Linked DNA regions of Caenorhabditis elegans. The protein of the gene in region 1 interacts with the protein of each later gene in a pairwise test. Each region holds a gene or a part of one and is shown on either strand. Other genes may lie near its edges.

What was found.
Region 2: the proteins of rabx-5 (region 1) and rabn-5 interact in a two-hybrid assay, tested with the Caenorhabditis elegans proteins (one study listed by BioGRID).

Annotation. Positions count from the first base shown.
Region 1 is NC_003281.10:10,603,398-10,611,603, forward strand, and holds the start of rabx-5 (Rab5 GDP/GTP exchange factor), read left to right. Parts: upstream 1-1,972; coding exon 1,973-2,035; intron 2,036-2,214; coding exon 2,215-2,330; intron 2,331-2,651; coding exon 2,652-2,752; intron 2,753-2,846; coding exon 2,847-2,898; intron 2,899-6,602; coding exon 6,603-7,159; intron 7,160-7,784; coding exon 7,785-7,922; intron 7,923-8,206. Other genes in the region: Y39A1A.2 (Reverse transcriptase domain-containing protein), read right to left, coding at 1-22, 102-152.
Region 2 is NC_003281.10:5,862,562-5,867,326, reverse strand, and holds rabn-5 (FYVE-type domain-containing protein), read right to left. Parts: upstream 2,775-4,765; 5' UTR 2,771-2,774; coding exon 2,720-2,770; intron 2,671-2,719; coding exon 2,569-2,670; intron 2,515-2,568; coding exon 2,308-2,514; intron 2,259-2,307; coding exon 1,525-2,258; intron 1,172-1,524; coding exon 1,021-1,171; 3' UTR 788-1,020; downstream 1-787. Other genes in the region: eng-1 (mannosyl-glycoprotein endo-beta-N-acetylglucosaminidase), read left to right, coding at 1-131, 321-524, 571-787; dnpp-1 (Aspartyl aminopeptidase), read left to right, coding at 3,619-3,729, 3,781-3,874, 3,922-4,339, 4,389-4,765.

The DNA.
Region 1 (8,206 bases):
CCGCATGAAAATCGATAACGTGCTGAAAGAAAATCGATTAAATACTAGTTTTTTGGTTGGAAAATTGCGGAAAAATCAATAAATTAAAAAAAAATTCTTACAATAAATCGTTGTGCAAGTTTGATAGGAACAATCGATCCTTCGCTGCTCATTTTGAAAATATTGAAATAATTCAATTTTACGGTTTTTCACTTAAAAACACCACGTCAAAAGTTTTGAATTTTTTTAATCGATAAATCCCCACGTAATTATTTTTAGGAATTTTTACGGGTATTAAAAAATTCTGAGAATGCGTATTACACAGAACATCTGACTCGCAAAATATCTCGAAGCGAAAACTACGGTAGTTCTTTAAATGACTACAGTAGCACTTGTGTCGATTTACGGGCTCGATTTTTGTAATGAATTTATTTATCGATAGAACATTTATTTAAAAAGCAAAAAAATGAGACTATTATCCGATGAAATATTTGAAAACAAATTCATATCGAAAAATTAGTTTTTTTCGATTTTTTGATATGAATTTCTTTTCGAATATTTCTTCGGATAATAGTCTCATTTTTTTGCTTTTTAAAAAAATGTTCTATCGATAAATAAATTCATTACAAAAATCTAGCCCGTAAATCGACACAAGTGCTACTGTAGTCATTTAAAGAACTACCGTAGTTTTCGCTTCGAGATATTTTGCGCGGCAGATGTTCTGTGTAATACGCATTCTCAGAATTTTGTGTTACCGTAATAAATCAATTTTGTAATCCGAGAAAAAATCTCTAAAATAAGATTTAAAAAATGCGCAGAACAATTTAAACAAAAAATAGTTTTTTGCTAAAAAATGTAACTTTTTTTTGCAAATTTGAAAGAAAAATCCTGTAAAATTTGGTGGAAACTCCGAAATAAGTTGAATTTGATGGGCAAACACAAAAACAAAAAATTTCTTCGAAAACTAGCTTTTTTTCTTCAAAATTTTGATTGATCCACATGGAAATCCCCATTTTCCAGGAAATTTTCATTGTATTCGTTCTAACAATTCCCCCAGATTGTGTATGTATTCAAAAGTTCATGGCTGGTGGCACGCTCTGAAAACCAATTTCCGAAAAAATCGGATTTCCGAGTATGTCCTCTCGATCTTTTCAGAACGAGCAGCTGTTTCCAGCTTTCAAAGCACGATGGAGGCGGAGCTTCCATGAAGACTGAGTAATCGAGGATGAGAGTGTGAAGACGCAGAGAAGCGAACTTGTGACCGCGTAGAGCCCTCCTCCATCTTCGGCTTGAGTTTCCCTGCCAGACGGGGACAACTTTAGCACCAATAGAACCCTCCTGGGTCCATTTTTCTTGGTTTTTGGTCGATTTTTAATTAAAAATTGACAGAAATTCTAGATTTTATGTTTAAATTTATTTTTTTTTACTTCCAAAAACTTGATTTGATTAAAAATTGAATTTTCACTGAAAATTGGACTGAAAAGTTGGATAATTTAAAATAAATTGGCTCAAAAACCTCTTTAATTTATTTTTTTTGCCGAAGATGTAATGTTTTATTAGTCTAGAATTTATTATTATCATTTTCCTTCAATTCAAATTTAGATTAGAAATTCAGCTTCAGAAATTTCAGATAATTTATAAATTTTAAGGAAAAAATGTTTTTTTTAATTTACTTTTAAAATAAATACAATTGAAAAAAATTGGAAAATCAAAAAAATCCAATTTTTCAACTAATTTTAATTTTTTTTTAATCTGAAACATCAGATTTTTTAAAAAATAATTAATAAGCTTTCGCAAAATCTCTAAAGTCAGTTTTTTTCGAAATTTTCAATTTTTGTGTGATTTTTCGAAAAATAATTGTGTTAAAATTATTTTTTCTTTAATTTGAACTGTAGTTTTATATTTTCTTCGACCCTTAATTCTCATTTTTAAAATTGTTTTTTTCTTCATGAAAAAATTAAAAATTTTTCAGTTTCAAACACCCCACAAAGTAATGTCAGATAAGCATGGCGAGGAGGACAAGAAAGCAAAAATGCATTTAAAAGCTAATGATTTAGTGAGTTTTTTCCTATTTTTAAAATTTCCAATATTAATTTTTCCTGAAAAAATAAAAAAAATAAATGAAAATTTAAAAAATCAAGATTTTTTGAAATTACAGTAACCCAATTTTTAAAGGCGGAATATCGGAGCATCGTTTATATTCATTTTTGAATAAAAATCAATTTCTTTTTGCAGTTATGTGTCAATGGATGCGGATTCTACGGGACCCCACAGTGGGAGAATCGTTGCTCAAAATGTTGGAGAGCTCATCAGAATGAGATGAAAAAATGTCAGGATTTTGCGAAGAATAGGTAAAAAATTGAAAAAAAATGCCTAAATTCGAATTTTGAATACTTTTTTAAAGAAAAATTCCAAAAAAAAAAACTCTAAAATTAAAAAAAAAATTTCATAATTCCACGAAAATACCTTGAAATATAAGGAAAAAATCTAAAATCTCAGAAAAAACCTGAAATTCCAAGAAAATTCGTGGAAATTTCAGAAAAATATCGTTAAAATAAAAATAAAAAACCCCTGAAATTCCAAGAAAAAATCGCTGAAAATTCGAAAAAAAAATTTTCAAATTTCAGAAAAAAAAAAACCTAATTTTCCGCTCAAATATCCCTTTTTTCCAGATCTCTTCTAAGTTTCGATCAATTCCAAGAGCGGCGTAAATCGACAACAGAAAGCAAGTCACGTGGCATCAAAAATCTGTTTAAAACGTCTCCGATTCCAGGTAAGTGTGGGGATTTTGCTACGTGGCCGTGAAAAGAAAAACTCGGCCACAGATTTTTTTTTTGAAAAAAGTTTTAAAATTTGCTATTTTTCAGAAGGCGGAACCAGTTCACCAACTTCCACGTCACCGGCGAGCACACCAACTCGGTGGGTTTTTAAGAAATTTTATAGTATAAAAAAAAATTTTAGGTGGTTTAAAAAAGTTCTGTTGATTTTTTCAAATTTTAAAGCAAATTATAGACCTTTTCACTGGTTTTCGAGTGATTTTGTAATTTTCAAAGCCAATTTTCAATAATTTCGAGTTTTTTTTAAAACAAAATATTCAGGAAAAGTGATTTTAACCGATTTTCGGGTGATTTTAGATAAAAATTCAGATTTTTTTTTGAGGATTTCAGACAAATTTTCAACAATTTTCTACTATTTTTCCAGTTTTGAGGCCGTTGTCTGCAAAACAAAAACCAATTTTTCCGCGATTTCGAGCATATTTAGGTTATTTTAGACGTAAAAGATGTTTTTGGATTCAAGATTATTAAAGTTTTTTTTTCTAAAATATCTTTTTTTCCGCAATTTTACCAGTTTTTGGACTCTAAAATTTAGGCCAATTTCTGTCAAAAAGTGGGCAAAAAATCTGAGAATTAGTGGTTGTTGTTGTTTTTTGTTTACGATAGAGTTGTTATTCTATATACAGCTGCTGTGTATATATTTATGCATCTCTGCCACTTTTTTCTCTATACGAATAGACGATGAGCTTTAGTCGGACGGGAATAGAGAGTTATTTTTTGTGATTTGATTTGGGAAAAAAAGAGGGAAAAGTCTGAAAATGACTGAAAAATGTTTGAAAAACCCTGGAAATTCATTTTGAAAGGTTTATAAAACATATTCTCGAAATTTAAAAAAATGCTTTAAAAAGTAGAATTTTTCATAAATTTGCAATTTTGAAAAACAGTTTTAAATTATCGGTCAATTTTTGAAAACTGTATAGTTCGAAACAACGTTTGCCTGGGAATTCAAACATGGCTTGATTTTTTTTTTGCAAAATTGAAAAAATATATATGCAATTTGTTCAATTCCTTTTTCAGTCACTACGCTATATTTTCTAGAAGAAAATATATTCTAAGAACATTAATTTCTGAAAAATTTGAGTTCAAAACGAGCAATTTTAGATGTATAATCTCCCCTCTTTCTCTGTCTGCGTGACCGAATACAAAATGAGAAGTGGTGCGTAAGAAGAAGGAGAGAACTACATTCTAAGGGCACTTAGATTTCGATCTTTTGAGACTTTTTTCAGTTGGAAAATGGGGTTTTTAGGGGGATTTTCAATGCAAAAATCAGAGAAAATGCTTTTAGAGCAGTCTGAAAGTGCGGAAATTACCAAAAATTAGCTCAAAACCTAGAGAATATTGCTGAAAATTCAAGTTTCAAACTGAAGTTTTGAATTTTCTAAAGCTTTTCAGAGTTTTTTTGTTCTAAAATTACCTGTAATTTTCATCTAATTTCACTGGAAAATTGACTTTAAAAGTAGAATTTTAGCCTATAATTGAGGTTTCTAGAGCACTAAGTATAGAACAATTTTTCAAAAAATTCGTATTAATATGTACCTGAAATCTCATTTCTAAGATAAAGTTCAATTTTGTAATCAATTTTTTTGAACCTCTTTCTGATCAAAATTGTATAAAAAACCCTAATAGTAAGCATAACTTTTGAATTGACTAAAAAAATTAATTATTATGATTTTTAATATTAAATTTTTAGCTATTTTAACTAGATTTGGAGTCAATTTTTTGTGGAAAAAAATCGATTTTTATAGGACTTTAGGATAAAAAAGTTTTTTATTTCGAATTTTTAAATCAAAACCGAAATACAAACAATTTTCGTATTTGGCAGAACCCAAAAAAAAATCCTAAAACCACTCCAAAATTGGCATTTCTCATTCAAAAAAATTGCACCTTTTTTGAGCAAATTTGACACCAATTTTTTTTTTCGAGTTTTCGGTTTTATTTTGAGAAAAATCGAAAAAAAAAGGAAAAATTTTCTAACAGTGTTTTTCGGTTTCCAGGAAGTAATAAAAAATTCATATCGCCACATAATATTATATCAAAGAACATGTTTGTCTGAAAGAAAAAGTTCAACTTTCTTGTGAATGAATAACTAATTAATCACTGACTCATTTGTCTAACAATTCTGAGAATTCTTTTTCCTTTTTCCATTTCTCGTTGACACGTTCTCCTTGTTTTCGAGAGCAGCTTCTCTCCTAAAGAAGAAAAAAAAGAAAATGTAATTGAGAGGAGCTCGCCGAGCTTGGAAAGACACGGAGAGAGCACACTTTTTGCTTCTGTTCCTGAAAAGTACATGAACTACTTGGTTAGTCATTGTGCTCACCACTCGTGGGACAAAAGAAAAGTGCATATTCAGATGAAATTTGCATGGCATAATAGAGTAGTTTCTATTAATTGAAATTGACAATTTGAAAAAAGAATTCGTTATTTCTGGAATTTGGGAAATTAAAGTAGCTTCAAATAGTAAAAAAATTAGTAAAACTGGGGGAAAATGGCAAATTTTCAAAAAATTTGGACTTTAGAAATTTACAGCATTTCTCAAATCATTAAATACCAATCAGAGGTGGGCGGATATTTTTTCGGATATTTTCTAATAATGAATTTATCAATAAGTATCGATGTAGTTATTCTGGAAGACATGTATCCGAACCAAAGAGTAACTATTAAGCAACATTTAATATGATAATCCCTAGAAAAATTCTACAAGTTTTCCTTACCGAGACCTTAAAACTTATTAGCCGAGCAACATCGGATATCGGATATTACGGATATTACGGATATCGGATAATGGACTTGCATATCGTTTATACAGAAAACTTGTAGAATTTTTCTAGGTTTTATCATATTAAAATGTTGCTTAATAGTTACTCTTTTGTTCGGATACATTTCTTCCAGAATAACTACATCAATACTTATTGATAAATTCATTATTAGAAAATATCCGAAAAAATATCCGCCCACCTCTGATATAAATAGAACCTACTGATATTTTCCAAATGATAAAAAAAATTCTAAGTTCAATAAACGGGTGTTTAACTATCCAAAATAGATATCCCAAATAATCGAAGCAAATAAAAAATACCGAAATTAAATATCAACGGCTTATTTTATTTTTTTGTAATGTATAAATTCATATTCTGTAAAATATAAATCATAAATGTAAATATCTGAAATTTTCAAAAATAATTGTTTGCATAGTCTGAAACAGTATAAAGGATTATGTGAAGTTTTCTAAAAATATTTTTTAGAATCATGAAAAAATGTTCAGAAAATTTGGAAATTATGGGAATTTGTTTGAAACGAAATATTTACTAGAAGCCTCTGAAAATGTCCTTTAAAGTCTGAAATCAGCCTAGATTATTGTTAAAATTCTTGGAATTCTGAAATTTCTGAAAACTTCTCTGAAATCGTTTAAAAAGTAAAAACAAATGTGGTTATACAAATAGTGTCAAAAATTGAAAAGTGTAGAAAAATTATGTCACAACTGTATTAAATAACATACAAACATGTATTTTAATACGGCTGTGACGTCAGAAATGTATTTCAATAATAAAAACCGTTTTTTTTTACATTTAAAAATCAAAAAAATCAAGAAAATTAAATATTTATGAATTCAATACCAAACGACCGAGAAGATCACATGTTTCAAAAATCAAAAACTCAGTCAAAAATAAAAATTTGTTATATTAAAAAAAATAGTTGTTTTAATTTAACCTCTGCGAAATCTTAAATTGTTTTATCAAATTTGTTATATCAAACATTTCAAATTGAATTTCAAAGTAAACCAAATAAAAGTCATTCCAGACGTCGAGAACTCTCCCCGGATTCTCTGGAAGCCCGTCAACAATTCACCGATTTTCTCGTAGCGAATCTCTCAACAGGAATGGCTCAAGAAATTGCTCGTTCAGTGAAAAACGCGGTGAATAAGATCTCAGAAATGAGAATGAGCTCAGATGATATGTCAGAACTTGTAATGAGTTATTATCAATATCTTGGAGAACGAATCGGTGGACATTCGTTATTTGATTCACCGGATTGTAAAGTTAAAGTGGAAGATGTGATGGACCAAGTGGAAAAGTATATATCAACATTTTGTTATTCAATATTCTTTTGTGCAAATCATGAAGAAGAAGTAGCTGATATGTCGTTGCAAGACCGTATTCGATCACTTCACTGGGTTACTGCTGGATTTCTGGAAACTAAGATGGTTTTTAAGAAACAAACGGTTCGAGATAAAATTGATGAAGCTATTTCGGAACTTATTGAGATTAATGCAAAACGATCTGCATTTGAGAAGCTTGATTGTTTGACGAAATCTTGTAAGGCGATTTTTGAGGCGCTTAAGGAGAGTGGTGAGTTTTTATTTTATCTGGAACAGATTTATAAAAATTTTAATGATAAATATCAACAAAAAAAAAACAGAAAAATCGGTTTATTTTTCTGAAAAAAAAAGAAATTATTTTCTATTTAAAAAGTGTATAATTTCCAGTTTTCAGACAACTTTTTTATTCAATTTTTTAAATTTTTCAAATTAAAATTATTTCAAATACATGAAATTTGAAAAAAAAATTTGGAAAAATATATATTTTTTTAACATTTGGAATTTTGACGAAATTTAAGTTTTTTTCTATTTAAATAAATTTTTTTTCAGCATCAAACATAATTTCGTACAAATTTCCTGGACTTTATTGGAATTGGAAAAATTGGAAATTAAATTGGAAAAAAAATTTCAATCAAAAAATTCGCCGAAAAACTTCAAAAATCCGGTTTTTTGTTTTTAAAATGTATTTCCTAACAATAAGTTAGTGGAATTTGAAAAAAAAAGAGTAAAATTTCATCGAAATAGTTTAATAACAGATTTTTAAAAAATTTCTGAACGAATTTTCCGAAAAAAATTCCAAGAAAGCCAAATATTTATGAATTCAATCCCAAAAGACCAAAAAAAAATCACCTGTTTCAAAAATCAAAAATTTTCAGAAGCTTCAACATCGGCTGACGAATTCCTGCCAACACTAATATACGTTTTATTCCGTGGAAATCCGCCGTTAATTCAATCAAATGTCAAATTTATATCAAGATTTGCAATTCCAGCGAGGCTTATGAGTGGAGAAGCTGGTGAATATTTGAATTAAGCATCCAAAATTCTCGAAAAAAAATTTTTATAGAAAAAACTAGATTCTGCAATTTAAAATCTTCAATTTGGCCAATTTTCACTGGTCCAGGCGACCGGAAAATTATTTTTTTTAATTAAAAAAATTATTCCATGTTGAAGATTTTAGGCGAATTTGGCCCTTTTTCAATATTTTCAACCTCCTGAACTTTTTTTTTACATATTTTTGAAAATTTTCATATAAAAAATCCACACTTTCGGGGTTATTTTACGTCTATAAAAACCAAAA
Region 2 (4,765 bases), 4.7 Mb from region 1:
TGTGTTGGAGAATTTCATTGTGATCAGTCATTTGCATTGGCAAAACTTTTTCACATGTCAGTTGCTCTTTTTGCACCCGGATGGATTTATGAAAAGTTTCCTGAGGAAAATCAAATTTGCAAAGGAATTCAGTAAGGTTTTTTGAAAATAAAATTGAAAAATCAGAAAAAAAAGACTACAGTACCCCGATAAAAATATAAATTTATAAAAAACATAATTTTTGAAATTTAATTTATTTCCAACTAGAAAATTCTACATTAGGATTTTTTTCAGAAAAATTCCACAATTTAAGTTTTATTGAAATTTTAATTTAATTCCAGCTTCTGGTCCAAACTTCTTCCACACATCCGAACTCGTCCTCTAACTTCTATAAACTTTGGCACCAACTTCTGTACTGGAATGGATCAAAATTGGCACTACCGCCTGAGCACAGTGCAGCTTCAGCCTCAAATTTTAAGCTCCTTCTGCCACCAAGTAATTGACTCTACAGGACTCACTCTTTTTGGCAGAAATCGAAAATTTCTGTAAGTTATGAACATACAAAAATTTACTCATTATAATTTTTTCCAGACTATTCACTTTCGATTCTGTCAACTACAGTACCCTGACCATAACTTGCACTACTTCCAATTCAATTGACCTGCTTCTGAATAGATCTGAAATTATGGACAAAACCGGAGATTCCACGTGGCATATTGACAAGCCAGGAAATTTGGAATCCATCAGCATCTTGACATCAAGCAACGACGAAACTGTGATCGAAAACTTTTCCATTGATTCTAATTAAATAATTCTAATTTCATAAAAGTCAATAAAACAAATTTTAATGCACAATTTTAGATCAATTTCTGGTATATATGTACGTATATAGAATAGATTAAGCATTGTACAAGAATTAAAAGACTAGACATTCTAGCACACGGATGATGCACATATAAAATCGGGAAAAGGTGGCGAAAGTGAAATTGGAAGGGCGAGTTGTGGATAATCAGCGACAGAATAAGCATTCCAGATGAATTATTACTTATCCTGCGTTGCAAAGAATGGTTTTGTATCCCGATTGAGCAGTGTGTGACATACTTTGCACACATTGGCTGGTCGATGATTTGGTCCACTTGGAACGGTGTCTTTCAGGCAGTTCATGCAGAATATCCGACCACAATGAAGACAGCTAAAAGATTTGAAAAATAAAAGTGACTGAAATATTCCATGAAAAAGTAAAATAGTGCTATCTCTTATTTTTCGCACTTTTTTAAAAATTTTTCCTTATAAAAATCTGCTATTTCTGGAAAACTATGCGTGATTTTTTATTTTTCGAAGCCTTTTTTTAAAAATATTTTAGGTCGTTTTAAGAAAGGGTACCGAACGCTTGATTCATAATCACTATATATTTTTTTTCTTTTTAAAATCTTCTGTTTGACATATTTTAATTGGAAAAGTGTAAAATTTATTTTTGAAAATGAAGAAAATAATTTTCTTGTAATTTTTTATCAGAAATTCAAACTTCCATTTTCAAAAACTTACTGAGGTTTAACTTTAACTCTAGCAAACGATGTATCACAATTTGAGCATTGATCTACATCATCATCCCATTGCCATCGTACTTCTTGTTCCGACTGTCGAATCTTCTCCAATTGAATTTGGAGGCTTTGAGATAATTTCACAAAATCTCTCTGCACAACTTCAGATGTGTCGAGTTCTTGTTGAAGACTTGTGCACCGTTGCTTGTAGTTCTGTGCCGTCTGTTCAACAGCGGCTCTCTCATTTTGAACCTGCTGAACCTGCGTCTCAAGTTCACCGACAGTTGTTTGAAGATCTCTAATTTGTCTGATATTCGAATCTTGATCTGCAATTGTTTCCGATGCAACAACCATTCGAGTGTTGATCTTTCCTAATTCCGACTGCAATCTGCTGATCTCTGCAGTAAATGTCACTTCCTGATCTTCTCTGTGCGCTCTTTCTTCTAGAATCTGAGCTCGCAGGACGGTGATCTCATCCTGCAGCTGCTGCTCGGTGTGCTCTTTTGCAGCTCGAGTTTCTATCAATTCTTCCCTATTCTTGAGACAAATAAATTGTAATTGATCAAGATCAGCTGGCATATCGATTTTCTCGGACCGAAGTTCTTGTGCTGATTTTCGTGTGGACCCGAGAAGCTTTTTGTACTTTTTTCCTAATGTAACAAAGTCATCGTCGGCTTGTTGCAGTTTGTCACGAGCCAAATTCAATTGATCAGTGAATACTTCTATCGATTTGTCGTGCTGAAATTAAGCTTTTTTAAAAGTTATTCTTTTTATTTATTTAAAATACCTTCGCACTGAGCTCGTCCAGCCGCTGCTCCGACTTGGCATTTGCCTTTGCCGCCTCGTTAACCTGATTCAAACAATTAGTCGATAATTCGTTCATTTTCTTTTCCAATTCTTTTCGATAGTCTCGTTCATTGCTCAAATCCAATTGATATCTTTCGTTCAACTCCATTGCCGCCTTCACTTCTTCCTTTAACTTTCGTTCGTTTTCCTGCAAAACAAACAAAAATCATTTGCATATTTGCCGTGTTCCCATGATTCTCACCTGTAATGCAGTCAAATTCACTTCATAATTCTGGCACATTTCGCATTGAAGCGTTGGATTCGGTGAGACTTGCGAAATCTTTTTGGACGGTATTGGCGGCTCCTGAAATTTAAGGGTCTTTGAATTATCGATTAAAATGCAACACTCTTACCTCTGCATTCACTCCGGCAGACACTTCTTCGCTAGCCGACGGTTCTGTCATTTTTCTAGAAAATTCTTGATTTATTCGAAAAATATATGAGTCATTTGATTAATTAAATAAAAAAGGTCTCATCACAATGTTGGCAAGGACTAGGTTGAAAACCTAGGCCATTTGGTGACACATTTAAAGAGCATTAAACATAATAATCGAGCAGTTTTAGTATTAATTTCATTAAACGACTTCCAAGAGAAAAGTAAATGTTTTCTGGAGTGAAATAAACATATTTCATTCTGTTGAGTTATGAAAATGTTATTATATGTTTAATTTATTTTTTATTCATAAAAATTTAAAAATTTGTAGTAAAAATCATTCTATTTATAAACAATATATCGCTCTGAAAAATCAAGATGAACAAAATTTTATATATAAAATTTATAATTATATTCAAAGTTCAGAACATTTCCAGCTATTGTAGTTTTCTTTCCAGGACCCAAAAAATGATTTAAGCGTTGCGCCTTGAATACAGTACTACTCTACGTTAAAAATTGTTCTTTTCTTCTTTTCGATTTCTAAAATTTTCCGACGTTTTTTTCCTGTCAATTTTTTTTTCACTAACTTTCCTCAAATAATTCCTGATCTTTTCGCTTTTCTCATGTCTTCTCCATTATCTTTTCCTTCATTTTTGATTCTTTCTATTAGAAACCTTGATAACTATCACTGATAACGCATTTTTGATAATCAGCACCACATATTCTTCTCTCGAACTTTCGCCCAGTAGAAACTAACCGTTTATCGCTTATAGAAAATCATTCCAGATTCAAATTTTATGCAACATTTTGTCTTATCTTTTTTCATTTTCACTCCGATGGTAGTAAAATATTGGGCTCAATTCATTTTGAGTTTGAATCATGACAAAGAAGTCGTTTCGAAAAAATCGTATTTCCGAAAAATTGAAAGTAGTGTGCGGCTGCTATCCAAAACATGAAATTGAGCCCAATACCAGCTATCAACCCAAAAAGGTTTTCACTATTCTTTCTTTGTCTTTTCATAAATAAGTTTATTTAATTTAGATGGCCGCTGCTCTGAAACCAAGTGCTCCGGAGATCCGCAAAGCTGCACAAGAGTTCATCAACTATCTGAATAAAGCAGTTACTCCATTTCATGGTAATATTTATTATTTATTTTTATATTCAAAAGTATATCAATTGCAGCCACCCAAGAAGTGAAGGATCGCCTTCTACAAGCCGGTTTCACAGAGCTTCCAGAATCGGGTCACTGGGACATTCAGCCAACCAGCAAATACTTTGTCACCAAGAACCGCTCTGCAATTCTTGCATTCGCTGTTGGAGGATCTTACAAGCCAGGGAGTGGATTCTCGATTGTTGTGGGACACACTGACAGTCCATGCCTCCGTGTCAAACCAATTTCCCACCAAAAGTCTGATAAATTCCTTCAAGTTGGTGTATCAACTTACGGAGGTGGAATCTGGAGAACCTGGTTTGACCGTGACTTGTCGGTGGCTGGATTGGTTATTGTCAAGAATGGAGAGAAACTTCAACACAAGCTGATCGACGTGAAAAAGCCAGTTCTTTTCATTCCAAATTTGGCGATTCATTTGGAGACCGACAGGTATTTGAAATTTGTCACTATCGTCCTAATTTTGCAATTTATTTCTCAGAACAACATTCAAACCAAACACGGAAACTGAGCTCCGCCCGATTCTGGAAACCTTCGCTGCTGCTGGAATCAATGCACCACAGAAACCCGAGTCTACTGGTTTTGCCGATCCACGAAACATTACCAACAATCATCATCCCCAATTCCTCGGATTAATCGCGAAGGAAGCTGGATGTCAGCCAGAAGACATCGTTGATTTGGATCTCTACCTTTACGATACAAACAAGGCTGCGATTGTTGGAATGGAGGATGAATTCATTTCTGGAGCTCGTCTTGATAACCAAGTTGGAACATACACTGCGATAAGTGGACTTCTCGAGTCTCTAACTGGAGAGTCATTCAAGAATGACCCACAAATTCGTATTGCCGCATGCTTCG